Lonchura striata: one gene and its partner. The main gene of each other region encodes a partner of the protein of the gene in region 2 in a complex. Links are inferred from orthologs where the notes say so. Each region holds a gene or a part of one and is shown on either strand. Other genes may lie near its edges.

Region 1 (12,239 bases), on a different chromosome or scaffold from region 2:
TTTTAAGGGTGTATTAAATACTATTCTTGGTTTAATTTTCTTCACAGAAAATTCACTTTGCCAGGACCATGTCTAGTTTAGAACAGCATTTATCAAACATCCTTTGTAACCTTGAACATGCATGTTGGTTTTGAAGAGTACAGCACCCTGGCTAGGGTGATCCTACCGGTTCTTCTGGATTCTCCTGAATGCTGCTATGTTCCCTTCTTGACAGAGACAACTTGAAAAGTGCAGACTTGAGACCACAGCTTGGGAACATTCTGAAAATAGGGGATTGCATTCTACTTATTTCTATTTCTTCTAGATTTGGCTCCCCTTCACATCTAATTATTGTAATGTGGAATCATCTCTCATAGTTTTTTTGAACAAATATTGAAAACCTGCTATCCATGTACCATAACCTCTTGGAAGCATGATGGAATGAAGTATGACAGGAAGAGTTGCAGACTTTTTTTGAGATTTTCATAGTTTTGAAATCAGAAGGTGTTGACTCCTTGTCATAGCCTTGTGGTATCTTTTTCTGAATTTTCTCCTACTACCACGTGTCATTTTATAAGTGGTTACATTTAAATTACTGGGGGAAAAATTAATCCAATCTGAAGCAACCATTAATGATACCCATAGATAGCTCCTGTTTACCAAAGCATTTGAACAAAGGGGAAAACTGAACTCTATTAAGCATAAAGGATATGCTGGGTTTATCTGTTAAGACTTGGTCTAAAAAGAATGACCTTTCAGGTTGCTTTCACATTCTACTTGCTTTGTACCATGCTTTGGGATATTAGTGACTGTTTGGCTAACAAAGATTTTGAAAGTAGTATCTGTTCTGAAATTTAACTTAACTTCAAGCTCTGCTAATGTGTAACTAATTTTAAAAATTTCCAAAACTTAAAATTCACTCAGCAGAAAATAGGCAAAACACGTATCACAGTTGTATCATGATTCAATAACTAGACTGATTATCAGTGGACTATGAATCATTTGCCTCAGGACTGGCTTCTCTAGCACCTGGAGGATTATCTGACCATCACAGCCCTGTTTTGTTTCGGTTTGGGGGGGGGGGGGGGGGTTTAGTGTTTTTTGTTTGTTTGTTTGTTTGTTTGGGTTGGTTTTTGGTTTTTGTTTTGGTTCTGTTTTGTTTTGAGTTTCTTCAGATACTTAAGGTCTACTACTCAGAGAGATTTTTATAAACTTGTCCTTACATAAAATACATTTTTAAGGTATCATCTAATGTGCTGAGGATAAAGTTGCTGCTGCATTAAGGTCTTGGAAAAGACCAAGAAGATTTGAAAAAAGCAAATACCTTTTTGTTTGGCAAGATCACGTGCTGGTATCCACATTTCAGTACTGACAAGCAGCTCAGAGTCCATCATGAGGAGTGATGGGAAAGAAATGGTAAATGAAACATTTCATAGTCCATGCTGCAGCCTCAGAGACTGAGAAAAAAAGACTGCTCTTGACTTCTGTGAAGAAGTAAGTCTCACATAAGTTATCCCATTTTTGCTATTTCTCTGGTTATGGAGTATTTGAGCTCTGGCAATCCTAATTCTCCATGTTTATAAATGACTGCAGAAGAAAATAAACCTGTAACAGAAATCTACACATGATGATTCCAAAACTTACCAGCATTTTTGAGGGTTTAATTAATTATATGGTGAAAAATGCCCTCTGAGCAACACCCCCACACACCAAAGCTGCGTAGGTCATAGTGAGTACCTTACTTTGCTTCCTCAATTCTGCTGCTTTCTGCATTTTTCTGACAGTTTTACATTCCTACCTGCCACTGCCCACAAATACATTTCTTTGCCATCCAGTGTTAGTCAGCAGAGGAGTTCTGTGATGCACTGTGCACTAAATATGCACAGACATGTGCATGGTGCATGCTTTCCAGACTGACAATCTTCGATCACACTGGATCTGAATTTCTAGCTGTGAGTAGCTGTTCCCAGACGTATTTTTTGGAACCCCTTTGTGAATCCCAGCTCCACAAGGTGGCTCTCGATTCCTTTAAAAATACTACTGCTTTTGTGGATTAAATGTATCTCAGAATGATCTTGAGAACAATCATCATGGCACGATGGATGCACAATGCTACAACGGAAGCCAAGATCCCCTTTAGTATGTAGCATATTTTTCTTTCAGTAAAACTGAAAACTAGACAAAGCCTGACATTACTGAAGTATTACAATTTGAAGGAAGATTTCATGTCAATTGCTCAATAAAATCTGAAAAACAAGAAAATAAAGGCATTATAGATGCCTTTATGAAATGGGATATTCAAATGCTCACTGCCTGCTCTGTTCCTTTGTGGCTTCTCTCTTACAAGTGCCCATCCCTACTCCATACCTCTGTCACCAGGTATTGAGGGGTGCAATCTCTGAGAGCATGGGCAGCCCGAGGGCAGTGTGGTGCTCCTCAGGAAAGACATCTTGCCTTTGAAGGCCAAGACACACTACGAGGTGTTCACTTGACTCCAGCCGGGACTTCAGCATCCCCAGAAGACCTCTCAAATCCCTCTGTGGCTGGCCTTGTGCTAGCATGGCCTCCCAGAGTTTTGCCTGCTCAAGCAGCTCATCTGAATGTGAGGTCCTGCCCTGAGGTGTGTGTCCCCAGAACCCCTGGCTGGGTGACCACAAAGCTGATCACCAGCTCTGCGGGCAGGGAGAGCCCCAGCTGAACCCGGGGTGGGACCACAGAGTAACTCTGCGAGGTGGGCTGGGCTGCAGCATGTGTGCAAAGCAAAGGCTGATGGTGCGAACCCCAGAATTAGTGCCTAAGACTGGCTCAGTTTGCCCTCCCTCTTGGGTATAATATTGCTGCTTTTGGTAATCAGAAATTAAAATTCCTGTTGCTTACATCTTAGGAAAATGCTAAGAAAACCTGAGTAAACTTTGGGAAAAAATATTATTTGCTTTCTGGTGATTTGTATGTTTTAGGTCATATTTTCAGGTTTTCCACAACAGGGATTGAAATTTATTTAACTAGTAAAATTTGAAAGCTGAATCTGTATAACAAACCCTATAGCAAGGCAATGCTGGGTGTGTCTGAACTGTAACGTTAAATTCATTCTTGTCGCTTCCTTCAAAGCTGAGCTGAGCTCAGCCCCTCCCTGGTTATCCCTCCCTGCCGAGCTTGCTGTAACCCCCACGCCTTGCTGCTGTTCCCACCTTTGTCCTTGCACAACTTGCTGCACCTTTGCCTCCACTGCTGGCCCAGCTTCTCCCCCTGACCCCTTCCACAGCGTGGTCTCTAAAGATCAGTTACAGTGAAGCCACTTGCTTCTTGTTCTCCTAATTTCTCTTTTGTTTTCTGTCTGCCTTTAAACATGCGTTCTTCCATGGAGAGATGGTGCAGACATGAAATTTTGCATGTTAATAACTGTGTGCATTTTCTATAAATTTGAATCTGGTCGATCTGCCCTGTGTTCATGTGCACAATCTTTGGGGCAGCTGAGGTTGCTGTTCTGCTCTAACTCTTTGTAGTAGGTGTCTGACAATGGGTAAAGACTCTGGGGAGAATCTCTGCTACAGAAGTTTGTATCCTGGAGCCAGCACAATTTCATGAACAGTAGCCCAAAGGACAGGCCAAGGGACATGTCTTTCAGTCCAATATGTATTTTTTACATTTTCACATGCAGAAAGTCTGCAGTCAAGAACCAGAAATGTGGTATCAGCAATGGAACTCAGTTCATTAAAAATTCAAATCAATGGAAACAACAGGACGTGTTATTTATCTAAGCCTTGAATCAATCTGACTACTATGCATAATGATCTTAATTAGAAAAGTGAGCCGAAGCAGGAAGACAGTCTGTCTCCTGGCTTTGAAATTATCATACCCCTATCAGTATGCTTGGGTAACTTGTAATTAGGGACAAAGGTTACACATAATTTTATATGCTGAAAAACCGGTTTTATACATGTAATTTCAAAAAATATTTAAGAAATAGTTATAAGACTTGGTAACCCTGTTAGACTTTAATTTTTTTTTTTCCTGCCAGATTAGTAGTCTGCACTAATTAATTGATGGACTTCAGAAATAGCTACAGAAACTTTGCATTTATAGGGACCCTGGACACTTATAAGTAACTAGTAATATTAATATCAGTCTTTGTAGAAGTTCCTTTCCAAAATTTGGTACCTTTTCACATCTGTTTCACCTGCGTGGAAAATGCAGCTCAGAGAAACAGTGTGGGCTGTCCAGCAACAGAGAGTAAGGGCTTCCCTGTTCAAAAATTTTACTGGCATGTTGCACCAGTATGGCCACAATTATACCTACACAGCTCCTTGTGCTGTCCCCCACATCTTTCTTCTTTCTTGCTTATCTTCAACTACTGTCATTAAATACGAAATTATCAGGTTTTGACAAAATGGCAGTCCTGTGATTACTCTTCCTTTAATATTTTATGGACAAGCTGTAATTAGAAAACAGAAGACCTAACTCTGAGGTCCTACCTCATCAAAGCACTCAGTTCCACACTTAATTTAAACAAATTCTTCAATTTAGTTAAGTCCACTGGGCAGGCCCACTGCCCGCTCACAGCGTTGAGTCACACACGAGCACTGCTCTCAGCAGGAGCAATGCCTTATCTTCTGCACTGGAACACACCTCTTCCTCTCTTATCACAGCTACAGATGTGATTTTTTTTCAAGGTAGTATTTAATCTTAGAAATACATTAGAAAAAGATCAAACCCTCTCTGTCACACAAGATGGCCTTGCTTTCCCACAACAGTATTTCCACAAACAAAAAAAATATGGAAATTAAAAACACAAGTAGGATCTGTTTCATCAAAGTATTAGCTACATTTCTGTGAGGCTGACAATCACCTTTTTAACATGGCAGGAATTACATGTGTAATGGGTGTTACAAATGTTCAACCCACACTGAAAAAAGATCACAGTTGGTATGAGTAATAACTTTTTTCTTAAACATAAACAGTTTCCCTCTAGCTCTCTACATCAATGTAACCACAGCTGTCAAGGCAGCCTCACCTCTTTCTATGTATATTTTAACTTTAATTTTTTCCCATGCCTTCACTTAGTGGACTTTTTTTTTTTTTATTAAAGGGCTTAAACCTGTTCTCCAATTTTGTGGGCAAATTCCCTGCAATAACAGATCTTGGTGTTTAGACATCTTTAAACATTATTATTAGCATGCAAGAAATTAGAGACCTACATCAAGATCTGGAGGTTTGGGTGTTGTTTTTTAATTGAAAGTGGATTTCAGATTGTAGTTTCCCTCATTCAAGGATCTCCGCTTTTACATAGTTAAATGAGCTTTTGTGGCCTTCTTTACAAGCAGCAGCAGCCCCCTTCCCAGAGCTTTGGTGCAGCCTTGGTGGTCACCAGCTGGGGCCACCGAGGTGGTGCAAGGGTGAGGATGCAGGAGCTCTGTGGAGAGGATGGCGATGGGCTGAGGCTCAGAGGACACACACAGTCTTAGTCTTAAGCTGCACATGCAGTCAGTCCAAAGATGTTCCAGGGGAGGTTTAGGTTGGACATTAGGAAGGACTTATTCACAGAAGTGGTGATTAGGCTTTGGAACGGGCTGCCCGGGGATGTGGCAGTGTCACCATCCCTGGAGGTCTCTAAGGAAGGAGTGGACATGGCACTGAGTCCCATGGTCTAGTTGACATGGTGGTGGACTCGATGATCACAGGAACTCAACTGATTCTGTGATGGAACGGACCCTTCAGTCCCTGGGACACCCCACATCTCCTTGAAGCTGCTACGTCTCCTCCATGGCTGAAGTCACAGAACTATAGACTATGAAGAGGTGGGAAGGGATGCACCGAGCCCCAGTCCCCCCTGCCATGGGCAGAGACACCCCTCACCAGACCAGGCTGCCCAGGGCTCCCTCTGATGCCTTAAGTTTTAGCTTTCGTATTTTCCAGATTCTGTACTGCATTAGTGTGTAACTCTGAGCTTCATATAAAGAGTTAGCAAGCTCTCCTCACAGCTTAGTCAGACAAAACAATCCTTTTCCAGCACAAGAACCAAGGACATCATTGCAGCTTTGGGCCCAAAAAGTCTGAAGAGCAGTGAATTGAGGAGAGCAAACTGGGAGGATGGGACTTCATAACCTGAAGCTGTAACTGGACAATTAACCCCAATATGTAAATGGACTAAAACTTATAAAAGTGTAAAAACTTATAAAAGTGTAAAAACGACTTGGAGTCCATCTTGGGTCCATTTTGGGGAGAGCTACGGCCAGGCTCTTGTACTGCCCAGGCCGTATCCTTTTAAATAAATCCCTACTTTCTTCCTTTAACACAGTCTAGCCTCTGTTCAGGGAGCCCCTCACGGCATCAATCCAACCCGGCCTTCCAAAGATGCGGCGCCTCCACCCTCGCTGGGCAGCCTGCCGCAGTGTCTCACCGCCTCCCAGGAAAGCCTTTTTCCTTTCTCCCTTCTCCCTTCTCCCTCCCGCTGGTGCCAGCCCCGGGATCTGTCCCCTCAGCGCGGCCCTTGCCCCGCCCGTGCCCCCGGCGCCGCGCAGTGCCCGCGGCGGCCCGGAACGCGAGCGCCGGGGCCGCGGTTTCCCGGCGGGCCGCGGCGCCGCGGCGCGGTTGCCATGGTGCTGCCGGGGCGCGGCCGCCATGGACGAGGAGGACACGGTGGGGCCTGCGGGGTTCGCCGGGCCGGGGCCGCTTCCCCCCGGGCGGGCAGCGGCTGCGGGCGGCGGGGGAGAGCGAGAGGCGCCGGCGGGCGCTGCCTGCCCCGGCCCGGTGCTGCCCTGCCCACAGCGGGGCCCGGAGCGCGGGCGAGGCCCTGCCCGGCCCCTCGGCGCTGCCCGGCGCTCGGTCCGGCCCGGGATGTGCCGCCGGCCGCCCCTCAGCCGGGCCCGGCAGCGCTGCCCCTGCCCAGCACGCACGTGGGCGTTTCTGGAAACCACTTGGTTTTGCTCCGTCGGTTTCCCTCTTCTCTCTCCCTCTCCGGTTTCTCCGGGAACCGGCGGCTCGTGCGGGCTTTCTCTCACCGCGTGTGTTTCTTTGCAGTTCCAGAAATTTGTTTTTCTTTTCGCCTCCCCCTCCAGTTTGTATCTCCTTCTCAATTTCTGATGGGTGGCTTTATTTAAAGCCCCGCCACGTGTGTGCGAGGCGTGGATCGCCATTCCTGCTGTTCTGACGCTCTCACACACGGGAACTGGCCCTTTGCAGCTGCAATTACGTGTTCAGGGTTACCTGCGGCTGATGGCAAGTGCGATGATCACTTGTTACCAGCCAGAGCTAACACGAGGGGTGTAAATCCTCTCCTCTGCAAATAATCTCAGAAGCTGTGCAGTAGCCTAGCAATAATGGCATTTGTATTGAGCAATTGTGAAAGTCTTCTGGCTTTTCTTTCTTTCAGAGAGATTTTAATGAGCGCTGTGCTCAGTGTTCAGAAGTGAACTGGGGTCTCACTGATGGAGGCAGATTTTATTGTAGATCTTGCCACAACGTTACTGAGGTAAAAAGATGAGTTACTGCCTTGGAAAATGTTTATTTTGATTGCTTCTTGACTTTATGTAAGAAAATTACAGATTTTTCTTCTCAGCATTGAGGGCAGTATTTTTATTCTTACTTTTTCATGCTTTAGTTGACACTGTTTAAAACTAATGTTCCTTGAAATCACAACATTTCGAATGAGCCATCTTGGCCTGCTGTGTTGCTGTAGCTGTGGTGTCAATGTGCTCTCTAGATGCCTCAGAAGCATTGTCTGAGTGTTGCTGCCTTTATGCAGTCCAAATCCAGGCAAACTGTGATGCATGTCACCTATGTGTCCATGATAGTAATTATCTGTTTTTGAAATTGCTGAATGAAAAGTTCAGACTGTCTTGTGTCCTGATAGTTTAGGAAATTTCGGTGAATTCCTCCATTATGTTTTATGATGGGGCAATCTGTGCAAGTTAGACCTGGCTCTTTTTCTTGCTAAGATGTATTCCTGTTTTGCAGAGAACTAGAGAAGTTGTAAACACTGATTTTATTACTAATTCAAGAGTCCAATCAATCTCCAAAGGTTTAAAAAAGCAGGAAAAAACTGGTATGTATGAGTTTCTGTTCGTATTTTGCAAAAGGGTGGCTGTTCAGCCACTGCTCTCCTAGGCCATTAGGTCTTTGGTAGAGAACAAAAACGGATAGGCAGGAAAGACTGTAGGAGTGGGAACAAAATGCACCTCCCTTATGCTGTTACAACCTTCAGAGATCACACTTGGTGACTTCCTGAGCCACAGGTGACCTCTGGTGAGCCCAGTGGTGGGGATTTTTTATTGAAAAGGTGAGTGTGCTACTGCTGCTTTGACTTCTGGAAGCAAATACTCATTCAGGCTACTGGAGGCATGCATTCAGATGTGGTAATCCTTTGTTCCTTCCCTGTGATGGCTATCACAAAACCAGAGAGGTTGTTTGTCTTGGCAAGTGAGATGTGATGGTGGTCCAGTTCTTGGTGTCAGTCTGGCCTGGGTTACAGGCACTTGGCCCTGCAGCTTACACACAAACTGCGCAGAAGAGGTTTCATGCAGTTCCAGTAGCTGAACCAGAGCTGCATCTTTCATCCAGAGTCACTTTTTTACTTTTAACTTAATGACTATTCAGAAGAATAGTGGTCATTACATAGGAAGATCTGGGGCATAAAGATGTAGTGGTAAAGCTACTGCTAGAGCTGTGTGTGTATGCTGTGTTGGCTGGATACATCTCTTACTGTTGTGGCCACCTTCAGAAAACAGAACTGCATTAAAATGCCAAATAAAGCAAGGGGTTATCTTTCTCTCTGATACGCTCAAATACCATTGGTCTGTTGCAGAGGCAGTAGACTGCTACATTCCTTTGAAAAGAGCAATTATGTGGAAGTGAAGGGAGGTGTGAAAGGACCCCTCCACTTTTCCTTATACTGTATTTATTCTGAAGTCTGGACCAGTCATGCTTTTAATTTATCCTGTTGAGAAGGTCATTAGCCAACCCCAGACTTCTTAAGAAAGAAATCCTTAACTTCACAATGCAGTCATGTTACACTGAATTCCATGAAAGTATAGGAGTAAGCTGTGTCTGTTAGTTCACTGTTAGCAGTTAAGAGCAGCATCATTATAGCAGGGCAGAAGCTTTGGGCAGATAATGTCCAAGATGGTGAGATGCAAGGTGTATTTCGGAACAAGAGTAGTGAAGAACAGGTGTGGAAGGACTGAAAATGGAGTTGAGAAATGCAGAGAAAATTTCTAAAACCAAAAGCCTGTATAAAAGGTTAGTAGTGAATTTAGAGAGGTAAGGGTGAAAAGTAATTGTAATGCAGCCTGAAGAAATAGTGAGCAGATTAGAGCAGGCCCACTCCCTGTGAAATTTATGTTGTGCTATGATTTGTTAGAAGTTGGGATATTCTTTCATTTAAACATTTGTGATTCTGTGTGAGAGAATGGTAAAGCACCAAAGTGGTATTGATTGTTTTTTGCCTGACTCACTCCTGTAATGTTTCAGTTTTCTATGTCAGGGGTGGGAAAGGAATGTTCATATTTCATTTTTAAATGCAGGTTCTCAGTTATTTTTAAACTGGTAATTTAACAGTGCTCTGCTCAATTACAAATGCCACACTAGACATTGTAATGAATTATATTATTCTTGGGAAATGTGTGAAGTTCTTGTTCAGTAACTTTTCTTCTCGTTTAAGGCTGTGAATAAATGGAAGTTAATGGAGTGTTCAGTGCAGGTGGTTTATGCACTAGGGTCTGAAATTATTAGAGATATGGGGATAAGTGTGCATAAAGTTAAAGAAATCCAAAATAGTACAAACAAACATAGTTTGTTTCCTTTGTTTTTCCCCTTAGATGGAGGCTGTGAATGGTATATTTGTGAAGGCTTTCAGCTTGTACTCAAGAAACAGGTGGAAGCTCTAGAAGCATTAGGAGTATGTCCACAAATGAAGGTACGTAGATGTCAGTCTGAGTTCTATACTCTGTGTGTGTGTGTTACAGAAAGTGGGATTTAAAAGATTTTAATTTTTAAAGTGAATAACATAAATCCCTGTTTAAAATCATTGAGCATATGAAATAAAAATTTGTTTCTCTGGTAGTTTTTAAACATATTTTATAAATCACAGTTAATAAAATTAGAGGTGGAATGTTATTCATATTCCTGAGTTAGAAATTACGCTCCGTTCTCTCAGCAATTAATGATCTTGTAAACATTGTACCATTTGCCATCCATTTTTGTTTATCAGGATGAAATTCTGTGCAATTTTTGGAGGTGTTACCTTCAGAAGAGCAAACAGGCATATTGCAAGAGACCAGCTGGGGAAACCATCAAAGTATTATCAGTAAGTGAAAGGTCAAATCCCATGAGATGTTTGGTATCTTTTTAAAAGCAGCAACAGAAATCTTCTTTGTTTAGGTGACATATCTTGCTGCCAACAATGTCACTTCAGTATGAAGGAGGTCATTTAAACAGGCTTGCACATGTCCAATTTATTGGGTTTTGGAGTTTTTTCAAGTCTGTTTCAACAGATAAATATTTCTGTGACTATTTGAAACTGCTTATTTAAAAGTTTTGCCTTGTCTTGACATAGAAAATCAGTAAATACAAATGGCAATGCAAGATGTATCATCAGCTACCATCCTTTTCTGCTTGCTCTCTTGAAGTTACTAGTTTGATCAAGCTTTGATTCTGTGTGCTGCCAACTTTCTGGTCATTGTAGCAGATTAAAGTGTAGTCACTAGAACTTTTTGGTATTGAGAAATCCTTGAAAAAATACTTCCTTGCCTTTTTTTTTTTCCAGTTACTGGTGGTTCATGGAGTAAAAATATTAACAGTTCGAGTTTTAACTTTTACTGTTAATTTTGCATTGCATCTGTCATGGTTTATGTGGTTTGTTAAGATCGAAACCGTAACTAAGAGCAGCTAACACAAATGTTTCTTTACAAACCCCAGGGATGTGAGAGCAGTACTGATGTGGACAGTGATCCAGAGAGACCCAGCTTTCTGCACTTGCTGTCTCTCTCTGACAGTGAGGGGGATCTGCAGACTGACTGCAGCTTTGCCTCATCAGTGAGCAAGGTCTCAGGTAGGAGCAGTGAGCAGAACTATCTGAAAATCAGTTTTTCTGTAGTTTTTAAATATAAATAGATTTAAAGTGTATTTTTGTACAGTGAATTGGAGGAACTGGTTGGAAGTTGTAATATTTTCAGTCTTGTTTGACACTGTACTACTTTATATTCTACCAGAAATAGACTTCCTCCTTCAACTCCTACCCAAGGAGATAAAAGTTGAACAGGACCTGGAAATGCAGTGGGAAATGTAGGAGGAAGTTCTGGTTTATAGCGAGTTTGCTCCATGCCTCCTGTTTAGAGTGGGAAAAAAATTGCTGTTATATCTGCCAAGCTAGATGTTCACAAACACAGCAGCTTTGAAGAATAAGCACACATTTAACCAACAGCAGAGCTGTCTGTCATGACTTTGATGTTAAAAAACATGAGTCTGTTCTTTAAGGGCATGTATTTTTTTTCTATCCCATAGATATGTTTAGCTTTTTAATTTTTTCTTTACATTATATTGGTATTTTTCTATCTTTTGTCTCCACAGTCTTTTTACTGCTTTCCCAATGGCCCCTTATAGGAAAAATCATATTTTAGCATTCCTTCAGTTTCTCTTCTTGCAATAGCAGCATGAAAATAGCTACAGAATGCTGAACTTCTTAATTAAAATGTTGTAGAGAATTGGAGTGTTAGGTTCTGCTGGGCAAGTGTAATACTAGACAATACTGCAAGGCCTGATACTGGAAATGCATTGCAAGGCACATTTGAAAGCTTTTGCTTGTGTTTTAAACTTATGATGGTTTTCTTTCTTGCTTTATTCTTTGCTTGCTTTTTCCTTCTTAATCTATCTTTGTGTTTCTTATTCCCCTGTTATGTGCTATCCTCCTTATGGCATGTTTCTGTTCTGTGATATTCCCTCTCTACCCTCAGAAGAACACAATCTTGTTTTTTCAAGCTTTTATCTTTACTTTGTAAAGTCCACAAGTGATAATAGAGTGAGAAATTTGATCAGCAGCAATTAGAAAACTTCAGACACAGTTGGGGTGAGAGGGGGAAGTTATAAAAATGGTGATGCAAATTTTTTTTAATATTATGCTAGAACCTTTCATCCTTACATATTAAAATGACATTTTGAGGTAAAGATTCACTGTATGTTTGTTCATGTAGAATGTTGGTTGTTATACAAATATAATACAAAAAGACAAGAATAGAGTGAAGAATTTCTAGTGAAAGTATTTCCTTAAA
Region 2 (12,524 bases):
GTCACTGCCTCAGCTGGAGCAGCTGAGCAGGCCCAGCTCACCTGGGAGCAGTAGTGCACTACTGGAAGAGAGGTCTCAGCTCCCAAATGCCATTGTTCGCTATGGATCAGTCTCCGAGCCCCAGGGTGGCGGGCTGGGGGCTCGGCGGGGCCGGTGAGGGCGGCGTGTGCCCGCCTTGCCTCCCCTGTGCGCTGCGGCCTGAACCTGCCCTCAGGTGTGGGGGGCGCGGTCTGAACCTGCCCTCAGGTGCGGGGGCGCGGTCTGAACCTGCCCTCAGGTGCGGGGGCACGGTCTGAACCTGCCCTCAGGTGTGGGGGCGCAGCCGAACCTGCCCTCAGGTGCGGGGGCGCGGTCTGAACCTGCCCTCAGGTGTGGGGGCGCAGCCGAACCTGCCCTCAGGTGCGGGGGCGCGGTCTGAACCTGCCCTCAGGTGTGGGGGCGCGGCCAAACCTGCCCTCAGGTGCGGGGGCGCGGTCTGAACCTGCCCTCAGGTGTGGGGGCGCGGTCCGAACCTGCCCTCAGGTGCGGGGGCGCGGTCTGAACCTGCCCTCAGGTGCGGGGGCGCGGTCTGAACCTGCCCTCAGGTGCGGGGGCGCGGTCTGAACCTGCCCTCAGGTGCGGGGGCGCGGTCTGAACCTGCCCTCAGGTGCGGGGGCGTGGCCCGGGCGGCCCTTCAGAGGGGGCGTGGCCGAGGCTCCCCTCAGGTGTGGGGGCGCGGCCCGGCGCTGCCCTCAGGTGCGCTCCGCCCTCGCCTCCCCTCAGGTGCGCGCGGCCCGAGGCGGCGGTGGCGCCGCTCCCCATGGCGGCCCCGGGCGGGCTGGGCCGCTGCGTGGCCGCCTTCTGGCTGGCGCTGGCCTTCGACGCGGTGGGGCTGGCGGTGCTGCTGGCCGGCGTGTTCGCCGACGTGTTCTTCTCCGACCTGCTCATCTACGCGGGCGGCATCGGCATCTTCCTCAGCCTGGTCTGGTGGGTGTTCTGGTACGCGGGCAACCTGGAGGTGCCGCCCGAGGAGCTGCGGGACGACGTGGGGCTGTCGCCGCCCAAGGGCCGCGGGGACACGCTGCTGCGGCGGCTGGTGAACGGGCTCAGCCTCCGCCTCACGGCCGCGCTCGCCCCCGCCCGCCCCGCCGACCTGGAGCTGCGGCGCGCCCAGGGCCCCCGCGGCCGCCGCGCCGACCCCGGCAGGTGAGAGCCGGACGGGAGCCCGGGGCCGCGCGGCGAGGCCAGCCCGGCTGTCGGCTCTGCCTTCGGCCACAGCCTGCGACAGCTCGCTTGCCCGGCATTCGGTTTAACGCTTGCTGGGTTAAAACACCTACTCGCAGCTGCCACGTCTTAAATAGAAGTAGTGGGGAGTTTTTCTCAGCTCAGGTGGTATAAAAACGAGTGGGAAAGATTGCACAAATGGGATTAGGCGGGGAAGGCGCTTCCTGTAGCCGTCCGAGAACGTAGCAGGTGACCCGGAGTGAAGCCCGGGCAGTGCGGTGGCGTGCGGAGAGCTGCGGCCAGAGAGCAGCACAGGAGCCCTGGCGCTCTGAACTGGTCCTCACAGCAACCAAATCCTGCCAGGAAGGGCCATTAACCACTACCCCGCACGAGCTCTTGGGAGGGGAAACCCCCTCGTTAGCACCGTGAAATAATGCTTTATTGGAGAACAAAAAAGGTGAAATGATGACTTGGATTTAACTTGAGGGCAGAGCTGTAGGTAAGAGGTTGAAACTCAAATGTAGCTATCAGTTAAACTGTTTGTCTTAAACCTCAGACATATAGAAAAGATGTGATGATACCTGATGTGCAAAGGAAGTGTCTCGGTCCTATTTCAAAGCATGGTTGAAGAACATGAAGCTTTTCAAAATATCTTCGTATGTTCATTTATGTGGTGTGTTCACATAGGAAGAAAAGCATGCATAATGCCTTGAAACTGTGTTTGGGGAAAAAAGTCAAGCCTTCACTTCACTATGTAAAATCCTCTATTGTAGGAACTGTAAACACAGTTTTGTACTGTTTGAACTGTTTGAGGATTCTAAACATCTTGCTGTTCTGATTCACTATGTACAAGATCAGCTTTTCCTGCTTCTCCTTGCAATTAAATTCTGAAGACACTGTTGACTTACAGAAAAATTCATGTAGAAATCGTCTTCTTTCATGACAGCTATGAAATTTTTCTTGAGAGAAAGTTTTAACAGCAGGGAGATTGAGTATAGATAATTATTCCTTAATAGAAGACTTGTAGGAGGCAGGAAAGAACAGCAGCAACACAACTTTCAAAGATTGTTACTGCTCTTTAGTTTATTATTAACTACACCTGCAATTAGACTGTTGAAAATGAGCCATTCTATTTTCAGACCTCTTTTTTTCTGAAAGGGGTCTAAAACTGGCAGGTCGATATTTGCAGGAACAATATAAATATAAATGACTACGCAGAACGATTCCATCTAAACATCATGGCAATTGCAGGTATTGAGCTCAGTAGGTAATTTGCTATTTCTGTAGATGCACTGTGTGTACACGGATAGGTATTCTGTTTTAATGAGCTCCTATTAGTGAAAGTTATCCACTATTTTGAAATATTTCAAGTCTTATTTCTGATTGTAATTAGATTTACATGTCCTATACACTCACACACACACACACATCTATATATATACTTAGTACAAGATATCCCAGTAGCTTCTGTTGCTACAGTAAACAACCTTCAGTAATGGTAATTCAGAAAGAACCAAAACCAAAACAGGGGGTGTACAGCAGTTATGTTACATATTGGAACATAAACTCTGGGATTTTACTTGCAAGGTGAAACAAAGAATAACAAATGGTTTCACCTTGAAAGATAATTTGGAGTTCCCTTTCAAAGTAAGTTCACCTAAAGTATCTTAGAACTTCTCATAAACAACTGTCTGAATCAGGTCATTCCTTGCTGATAGACCAAATCCTCTCCCCATCAGGAGATATTTATGAACTTAACCAAACGGGTTAAACATGTTTGGGCAGATATTGCCTGAGAAGGAAAAAAACCAGCACCCCCCACACACACATTCAGAAACAAAACAAAACAAAATCCTAAAAACAAAACAAAACAAAACAAACCCCAAACATCCTCTCTTTATTTTCATTTGGAAAATTTGAGCATTAATTTTTGAAATTATGAAAGGAGCATTCTACATTGTTCTGATTTCCCGTCTTAAACATTATACAGTAGACAAAGGTGAGAATTTTCATTACATGGAATGTTTCTATTAAAGGAATAACAAGTAGATTAGAATCCTCAAGCCTGAAAAGAGATGCAGAATATAAAGTGTTCTAGAAGTCTATGCAGTCACTGTGGGAAAGGTATGAAGTGCTTGTCTCCCAAGGCAAAGCAGGCACAAACTGTCATGTGCTATGTAAGTGAAGTATGTGATTACTTGACATGGGACAGTGGGACAGATAAAAATTTACTGATTCAAAAATTCAAAGGACAAAGCAGAAGATACATGATAATATAAAGATAATATATTTGGCTAAGGAAGACCTGGGGCAGTTGATATCCTGAGGGGATATTACTTGTGTGCCATATTGTTATGCCTTCATTGAGACATCACACTTGGCCACCATTGGAGATGGGCTGGTGACTTAATGGATCTTTTCTTTGGGTTCCAGTTGGCTGTTCAATATGAGGAAAAGTACTTTTAAGACTGACTTTAAGTAACAGTTTAGAGTTATATTTGTTCTAAGCCTATTTTGGAGTAACCATTTCTTCATGTGTTACCTTCAGGATCTGTTGAAGACATGACTAAAGATGTTACGGCCCCAAAAAGTGGGGAAAATGCTGCAAATTATGGAAAGAGATTCCCTACTCAAGACAGTAGGATTCTCTCATTGTGGAATAACCTCTGCAAGCATTGTGGACTCTCCATAAAATGGACACGTGGAGCCATATCTCTGCCAAAAGCACCTATTTCAGTGTTGGACTGGCTATGCTTTGAAATGGTGAAAAAAGATTCCACAAAATCTTTTTGAGAAGTGACAGCTAAAGAGAATTGAACCTGATTCATTGAAATGTCAGTGCAGCTTGTCATATGGTTGGTTTTATTGTGTTGTTTCAATTATTATTATTTTCAATAACCTGAAAGGTTTGTATAAAAAGCTCTTGCACAATGAAAAGCTCTTGCACTGTTTTTTACCAAGGTCTGGAAGTTAAACTTACTGTGAATTTTTATAATGCCAGTGCAATACTTTTGTTTGTAAGGGTGCTTTTAAAATCTCTATATTAAATTGTTGACGCAAAGCTGCAAATGTAGTAGAAGTTGTTTATAGTGTAAATACACAATTTATAGCATCTCTTGTAAAAAGTTTCATTGTTATTCTGAAATAACCTGGAATCTGAGACTTTATAAGTAGACCCCAGTGATGTTGGTATACAAGTACATTCTTTGTAGTAACAAACGATGTAATATGATGACACTTGCAAGAGTAATTTTTAGTCCAGTGATGTTGGAAACTATTTTCCTAATGCTGAAGCATTTGAGAGAGAGAACATGACCAAAAGAAACTCTGTTGATTAACAAGTACCCCAAGGCATTGTAAAGCATTAACAAACAGTACTTGGAAAAAGATTTATATTAATGCTAGTGATACCTAAAACTGTGCTAATGATAAAATTGTGTTGAGAATTTCCTCAGGAGTTCTTCTGGTTTTGAAGTTACACTAAGAGTTTGGTGCCACCATCAGCAAATACTGGTAGGGCTTAAAATTTCAATGCACAATTGTTCTATGCCACACCTCATTGAATACTAAAGGTGGAATTAAGGAAAATATTTGCTAAGAACACTGTGGCTGTACTTCCTTATGAACTCCTGAAATGTCTTTCAGTGTTTTCTTGTAAAATTACTAGAGTAACTTCTTTTCTTTGCATATTCTCATTTTAAAATGCTTTCCAAATGCTCTATCTTTTAACAAATTCAGAAGAACACTAAACTTGAAGATCTGCAATGTGATTTCTCCTTTACTATCTGCAATTTTTAGGAGGTGTATGCAATTTGTTTCCTGCTTTTAATGGAACTGCAATGTGACACCACTCCAGTGTTGCAATGGCCTGATTAAAAAAAACCCAAACAAACCTGTAGATCAGTTTTCATTTGCAATAATTTTTTGTTCGTTTCATTTTTCCTGAACAGAAAGAGATGCTTTTTCTGATTCCCCATTGTTTCACTTATAAAGTGAATTATGAGATACACTGTTTAATAAGTGGAATAAATTAAGCCAAAACTCATATATGTAGCTCACATACTTAGTTTGTGAAAACCAAAATTTTCTATTAAAATTTTTCTATTCAAGTGTTCTACTCTATTAAAGCAATAATAATTGCTAGAGTGAATTGAGCAGGCCTTTGCATTCATTGTATATTACGATGTAATTAATCAAATCCAATATCAGTACTTAATGATTGTTGTATAAGATGGTAGCTAGAGTGCAACTTCACTCAAAAGTTATGTAGAATTCCAACTAGTTTACTAGTATGAATAGTATATATTTTAAAAATGAAATATAGGAACTGACCCATCAGTTAAGGAGGATGTTAAGCACAGAAAAGCACTAAAGCACTAGAAGATGGTGAGACCAAATAATTAGACAAACAGTACTTGCTGTGGAGCAGTGATATGATACCTATTGTAAGCATTGTAACTATTTTCTTTTTGAAAATGCATCCAGTTACTCTTACATGCAATCAGTTTGCCTTCTAAACAGAAACTGGGAATCACCTGCAGTTACACATTAACAAATATTTAACACTATTTTAGTTTCCTTATCAGCTCTGCCAATGCAGCACAAAGTCCATTCAAAGAACTTTTACATTGTTGAGTGGAAGGAAGCTCTTGGACATGTTTAGGACTGCTTGCTGTTGCAGCTAAAAGAATTCCTCTAGCCATTGAAGGAAGTCTTATGTGTGCTGTATAAAATCTTAGGCAAAATCACAAAGAACCAAACTAGTTCCAGAAGGGTGGCTACAGAAGTCTTTTGCTAGTTAAGTCTTAAAACTAGCTCAAAATGTCATCCTACATTCCACTAAAGGAAAAATACCAACCTCCAGCTTCTAACTATGTAGATGGATTAAATGCTTGTTAGACTTTAAACGTGGACTGCATCTAATGGAAGATTTCATGTGGTGTATAGTATCTACTTAAATGGGAATATCTTCATCATCATCAAGATTATATTATTAGTAATGCCTACAAAAATCTGTTTGATGTAACTTGTGAGAGTTGCTGGGAGTGACATAATTATTACAGTACCAGTTTGTGTAGAAAAGAAGCATAAGTGTATACAAAGTTGAGAGGGCTAAGGTCAAATAATGTCACGTGTTGCTGTAGCTAGTTTGTGTGAATGGGTGAAGTAAATTTTACACATTCAGCCAAAGTAAGCTTCCAGCAGATTGGATGTTACTGAAGAACTACACAGGAAATTCAAGTCTCTGTTCATACTTACCCGGGTTGCTGTGGCAGCAGAATTTGTGTGTGTATACAATCTTTCAGGAGCAAAACCAGTTACTAGCTCTGACACAGAAAAGTCCATAACACATTTTGTTTAATGACTGGTGCTTTAACATAGACCCAGCCTACATAGGGAGGATGAAAACATCCAGAAATCTCACTGGAGTTCCTGTGCCTCTATTCTAGCAAATCCATTATTACTTCCCAAGGTCAAACACTGCTTAATTTAGAGCAGATTCTTGGCCCTTTTTAATCTCAATTAAGTTGTTTGTACCATTTAGTTTATCCCTTCGGATTGCAGTTTTTAGTTGATAACCCGGGCTGGCCGTGCCCTTGGTGTCACCCGTGCTGTGAGGGGCTGCCCGCGGCTCCCACTGCTCGCGGCGAGCTGCCCAAGGGGTCGGGGAGCGCTCGCCTGTGAACCATCCCGGGGTGGGCTCGCTCCACCATGGCCCTGGGGATCAATCTGGATTTCTGCTCACGCACCCCGGGACGCTGGGATCGCTACCGGGAGTCAGTGTAAACCCAGAACGGTGACGAGAGTAGAGCTTCCCGCTCCTCTTGCCTGGCTTCACCACGGTGGGCGGGGGCAGCGCCGCGGCTGCTCCTTCCCAGCGCTCCCTTCCCGCTCAGCGCTGCCGCCCGGCGGTGCTGCTCCGAGCCCGCTCGGTGCCGCCGCCCGGCGGTTCCGCTCCGAGCCCGCTCGGTGCCGCTCTGTCCCTCTCTGGTGCCGCTCTGTCCCGCTCGGTGCCGCTCTGTCCCTCTCTGGTGCCGCCCTGTCCCTCTCTGGTGCCGCTCCGAGCCCGCTCGGTGCCGCCGCCCGGCGGTGCCGCTCTGTCCCGGCTCGCTGGTGCCGCTCTGTCCCTCTCTGGTGCCGCTCCGAGCCCGCTCGGTGCCACTCTGTCCCTCTCTGGTGCCGCCCTGTCCCGCTCGGTGCCGCTCCGAGCCCGCTCGCTGCCGCCGCCCGGCGGCGCGGCGCGGCGGTGCGGGGGCGGGCCGCCGGCGCGGTTTCCGCCCGGCCGCGCAGTTTCCGCCGGAGCGGCATGTGGCGGCGCGGGCGGCCGGGGCGCGCCGGGCGCGGGGCGAGGCGCCGCTGGCCCCGGTAGCGCGGGCGCGGCCGCCGCCGCAAGGCAAGGGCGGGCAGCGGGAGGGATCCTGGGAGGGGAACGGCGGCCCCCGCGGCTCTCCCGGCTGAGGAGGGGCCCGAGAGGTGCCCGGGCCTCCGAGCGGTGCTCACGCGGCTTCCCCTCCCCGCAGGCGCCGTGACCATGCTGGGAGCGGACGAGTTCATCAGCTCCCCGCCCAGGAAGACGGTGCGGTTCGGGGGGACCCTGACCGAGATCCTGCTGAAGTACGAAAAGGTGACTGCGGCTTCTCAGGGGCCTGCGCTGCGCACGGACTGCTGGTTTCGGGGGTCATTCCGTGAGAACACTCGTTTCGCCTTATGCAAGACCGTGCCTGAAGCCTTAGGGAAAAAATTGAAGGCGGCTGAGCGTTGTAGGCTTGTGCCAGGCAGAATTGCTGTGCGAGCAAAAAGATTCCCCCGTGAGTCAACCTGCGTGGCTGGGTGAATGTAAAGCCTGGCTTATGCTAAAGTGTGCACAGGGATCCAGCTGTGTTTGCAGGGAGAGCAGCTGAAAATGAGCCAGCAGCCTCGGTTGCCTTCTGGGATGACACCCTGTTACTGCTGCTTTCCTGTTACTGTTCAGCTTTCTTGAGCTGGTTGTCTTGTATTCTTGATGTACCTGTTCAATAGTTGGTTGTTCAGATGCATTGATGAAATTGGTAGTTTTTACTGAAGGAAAAAAAAAAAGTAATTTATTTATTTTTGTTTCCCCTGCTAGGGTGACACTACAGATTTTGAATTGTTAAAACATCAGCTATCAGATCCAGACATAAAGGTAAGACTTTGATAGTCAGGGGTCTGATGATTTAAAGTTTGTCTGTCTGAGTGTAATCACCAGACAAGTCATTCTGGTGACTACACAAAGCCTTTGCTTTAAAGATTTAAATTTGATTAAACAGCATTTTTTTCTTTGCAAAAACCATCAGGATTAAAACTCTAAATGGAAAAAAAATGTCTTTTTTGTACGCATACGTATATGCAGGATCTTTATAAATGATGTCTCATGCTTACTGACCCTGTTCTACCCTTGAGTCTCTGTTCCAGATACCATCTTTTTAGGTCACTGATGGTTGATTATGGAGACTCTTCTGTAGATCAGACATGGTTTCTAATTTTCATAGCCTTAAAGTTGCATCGAATTTTACCTTCTGTTCTCACTAAATCTGATTTAATTAGGCAGTAACACACATATGCATTTAGTAGTTATACCCAGAAGTATTGTTTCACAGCTCTTCTGTATAGCTACGAGCACTAGCCATGTTTGCTGTTTCAAGATTTGAGTGTCCCTTCTGCTTAAACTAGAGCAAAAGAGAAAAGAAAATGATGATGGAATACCATTTCTTTTATGTTCTGTGTGAGGGAGGTTTCATGCCTTGCTTAATCTGACTGAAACCTTCATGTCAGTCTGTTGGTTTAGGAGCTGGCATGAATGTATTCTGCATTCAAGAACTTTCATTGGTGAGGGCACAAACTGAATTTCCTTTCATGTTAGTGTGAAAACAATTTCTATTTACAGCCTTAATCTTTGACTTCTAAGGATTTTGGTATTTTCTGCTAATAGGTAGTATTGTTTATTGAAATAGTTAACCTATTTTTTTCTGCTGATTTAAAGGATGCCCAGATCATTAATTGGCTGCATGAATTTCGAGCTTCTGTTGCATATTTGACCAAAGAGCTTGGACAACTGGTCAACATTTTGCTGGTAAGTATCTGTTTGCTACATGGGAAGACTAAGAGTTTAGTACTCAAAACATCCTTCTTTGACATCTTGATCTTTGCTTACTTTTAGAAGCTACCATGGTTGAGAAGGAGCCGAGAGGTAGTGGAAGAATATCTGGGCTTCCTTGGCAATCTTGTGTCAGCACAAACTGTGCATCTCAGGCCGTGCCTGCGGATGATCGTGTCACAGTTTGTCCCCCGTAGGTTACTTCTCTCTTATCGGTCTTTGTTTGCTCATCAAAATCCCTATATAGATAAGTTCTGTATAAACACAGTCCATAACACAATTAATTATTGGGTTATTGAGTTTTTTCATGTTGACTGTCATACAGATAGTTTTCTGTACCTAGATTTTAGAGGATATATTCTGGGTGCTAATACAGATCTTGTTCTGAAGATGTCTTGGAAATGAATGAACTGTATAATATCTTAACTACTAAAAAACCAAAAGCTGAAGTGAAGATCATGTCAGATGTTCTCAAGAACCTCCTAGTTCTGTAAATAACAGTCTTTAAGAAGGTCTTGCAGCTAATTTTGACGCTCTAGTTGTGCTGGAGACTGTTGTTCAGTGTATTTGCTACTGAATTTCTTACCTATAAGATGTATACAATTGAAAAAAGATGTAATAATCTTTTTTTTTTTTTTTTACTAGCTCGAATAACCATCAGAGAAGATGATGTGGATATTTCAGATTCTGATGATGATGATGAAAGTGAGTATAAAGTATATAGATATACATGCTGCTGTAGTGCCTTTACCGAAACAGTATCCAGTGCATGTTGCTCCTTTTTTACAAAATTAATTGAGCTGAGTTCAAGTAAAACATAAGAAACATCCTTAAATTCCTAAGTCAAAGACTTTCTTGTACTCAAATCAATGGTGTGCTGACCCACTTATTACTTTGAAACTATTCCTGTTGGTGCTGTATCTGTAGGAATAGAATGCATAGGGAAACATTCCTAGACCTAGGTTGTTTCAAAGCCAAAGAAAAGTTAGTTGTTTGCTTTCTATTTTATTTATCTCAGTGTACACCCCCGCAAAAGAGCATTTTGGCAAATGCAGTTTTCTTGGGAATCATTCAATTGTGTAGTTGATATGAACTGTTTTTACTGGTTCCTGATTTACTTTTCTGTAACCAAGTGCATAAGAATTCTTTTTTCTTTCTCTAGACATCTCTGAAAACTTTGATACATGCCACAGAGCATTGCAAACTGTTGCAAGATATGTTCCTTCGTAAGTACAGAATCCCTTGGGTTTGTGTGCCCTTTTCTTGCAGATTTAAAGCTTGTGAACTGATGGGTTTTTTCCTATCTTAATTGGAAGCATAACACTTCATTTCATTACATGAATCTTCCTAGTATTCAATAACTGGTAGACTGCTTTATACAAACATGGAGTTTCTGTCAGGCATCAGCCGCTGAAAATCCTGTTAACAGAAATGGGAGGTAGGAAAAGTGGTGTTGATAGTGGCTTCTGTATTCTGTACTCTATAGTGATATTTGAAGTGGCTTCCAATGAGTGCATTGTGAAAGTTTGCCACTTATTATCTGCCCAGTGATCCTTGCCAAACCACATTTTATACAATTACTTACCTCAAAATAAAGTTCCTGTTAAATAAGCTTATTCCAGTACACCTTTAGAGTGCTGGAGTTCAACATTTGCAAACCTATAACTTTTAGGTCTGATTTTTGGTTTTTAATTAATTGTAGGACACCACAGTTTCTCATGCCGATACTTGTGGAATTCTTTCCTTTCATTAATAAATCAGAAAGAACTCTGGTAAGAGCTGTGACTATTTTTGTTGATCTGTTCACCTGTTTATCTAAATGCATAAATGTTCTGTATAGTATTACAACTGATTCGGTGGCAGTCCATGCAGATTTTTGAAGAATATTGTTGCATATATAATAATTACATATATAATAACCACGTATAGGATTGTGTCTGTTTAGTGTAAGGCTCTCCAAGCATTCTGAGTTTTTTGTGCACAAGCGTTGTGCTCATCTTTAAAGACATCACACATATTTTTCCCACTGGATGTATACCATGTACACCATGGACCTCCTTGATGAGGAGTCTCAGATTGTGTACTAAGGAGACCTGTCTTGTCTGTTATCAAACCTGGAAAGTCTTTGGCAGAAGAACAGGGGATTTGAGAAGCAAACAAGAGACAATGGACATTTCAGGCGAAATCCAAATTGCCAGTAAAGCGCTATTATTTTATTATAGCTTTATCATAGTTTTTGTGTGCTGAAAAACAAGCTGTAAACCTTTGACAGGTTATGGCTGTTGTTTTATCATTCTCTTTGTTTGTTCCAGCTTGATATGTTGGCACTTCGTGTTACAGAAAGGCAAAGCCCTGCTTCTCCACCTAAGTTCAGTCAAAGCTGTGTTTTGAACTCATCAAGTGCTGAAAAATCCCCAAAGTTCTTTATCTATCTTGCAATTTTTAAAAATTGTTGTCTTAATCCAAATAACTTTAAGCACCATCTCCCCATCTGTAAAATGGGGGAATAATAGCTCTTACATGGTGTTAGGAGATTTATTTACTTAGCAGCTCAGTGAGGGACAAGATGTAAAGAAATGTGTAGCTGTTTTCAGGGCAGAGCTCAAATGAAATGTAATACAATGTGGTCCATGCACTGTTTAATATTTACAGTTAATACTTTCTCATTAAACGTTTTCTATCCATTTTGTGTACTGACTAAGCCTGTGAAAAAAATGAACAAGATGGCCTGTGGAAAAATCATATGTGCTCATGTAATTAAAGGTTGTGTTATAATGCTTATTCACAAGTAGACTGTGGTGTACTTAGATGTGGCACACTACCTGATTGTGTGCAGCAACTTGATAGTTTTGCTTTATGAAAGTTGCAACGTTGTCTTTTGTACATGTACACATGGGTGGGCCCATGCATGCTCACAAAACTTGTCTGTTAAGCTGCTTGATTTATAATCAGAATTACTGAAGAGCCATAGCTGTTCAATTTAGATTTGCTGCTGGTATATTTTAATAATCTGAAATAAAGATACATTTGGTCTAATTTGGTTCTAGCTACAGTGAAGCATATGCTTCATTTTCCTAAAGAAAGTCTAGACATAAACTCCTATGAAAATGAATAACTTTTCTTATAGAATCTTTACACTATATTTAGAGGTAGTGAGGAAAATGTGTATAAAAAGAGCAGATTAAACAGTTAATAGTGACACAAA

What was found.
Region 1: RRN3 (region 2) and TAF1B share a complex: the UniProt entries of both Homo sapiens proteins name them as parts of the pol I pre-initiation complex. The link is inferred for Lonchura striata from reciprocal best matches to the Homo sapiens genes RRN3 and TAF1B.

What each region holds. Positions count from the first base shown.
Region 1 is NC_134605.1:98,933,914-98,946,152, forward strand, and holds the start of TAF1B (TATA box-binding protein-associated factor RNA polymerase I subunit B), read left to right. Parts: upstream 1-6,530; 5' UTR 6,531-6,597; coding exon 6,598-6,615; intron 6,616-7,348; coding exon 7,349-7,447; intron 7,448-7,932; coding exon 7,933-8,020; intron 8,021-9,791; coding exon 9,792-9,889; intron 9,890-10,183; coding exon 10,184-10,279; intron 10,280-10,890; coding exon 10,891-11,023; intron 11,024-12,239. UniProt on the Homo sapiens protein: Component of RNA polymerase I core factor complex that acts as a GTF2B/TFIIB-like factor and plays a key role in multiple steps during transcription initiation such as pre-initiation complex (PIC) assembly and postpolymerase recruitment events in polymerase I (Pol I) transcription.
Region 2 is NC_134618.1:8,935,939-8,948,462, forward strand, and holds the start of RRN3 (RNA polymerase I-specific transcription initiation factor RRN3), read left to right. Parts: upstream 1-7,520; 5' UTR 7,521-7,597; intron 7,598-7,724; 5' UTR 7,725-7,735; coding exon 7,736-7,828; intron 7,829-8,311; coding exon 8,312-8,368; intron 8,369-9,205; coding exon 9,206-9,295; intron 9,296-9,382; coding exon 9,383-9,512; intron 9,513-9,964; coding exon 9,965-10,024; intron 10,025-10,481; coding exon 10,482-10,545; intron 10,546-11,021; coding exon 11,022-11,091; intron 11,092-12,524. Other genes in the region: transmembrane protein 238, read left to right, coding at 800-1,185, 3,752-3,761. UniProt on the Homo sapiens protein: Required for efficient transcription initiation by RNA polymerase I (Pol I). Required for the formation of the competent pre-initiation complex (PIC).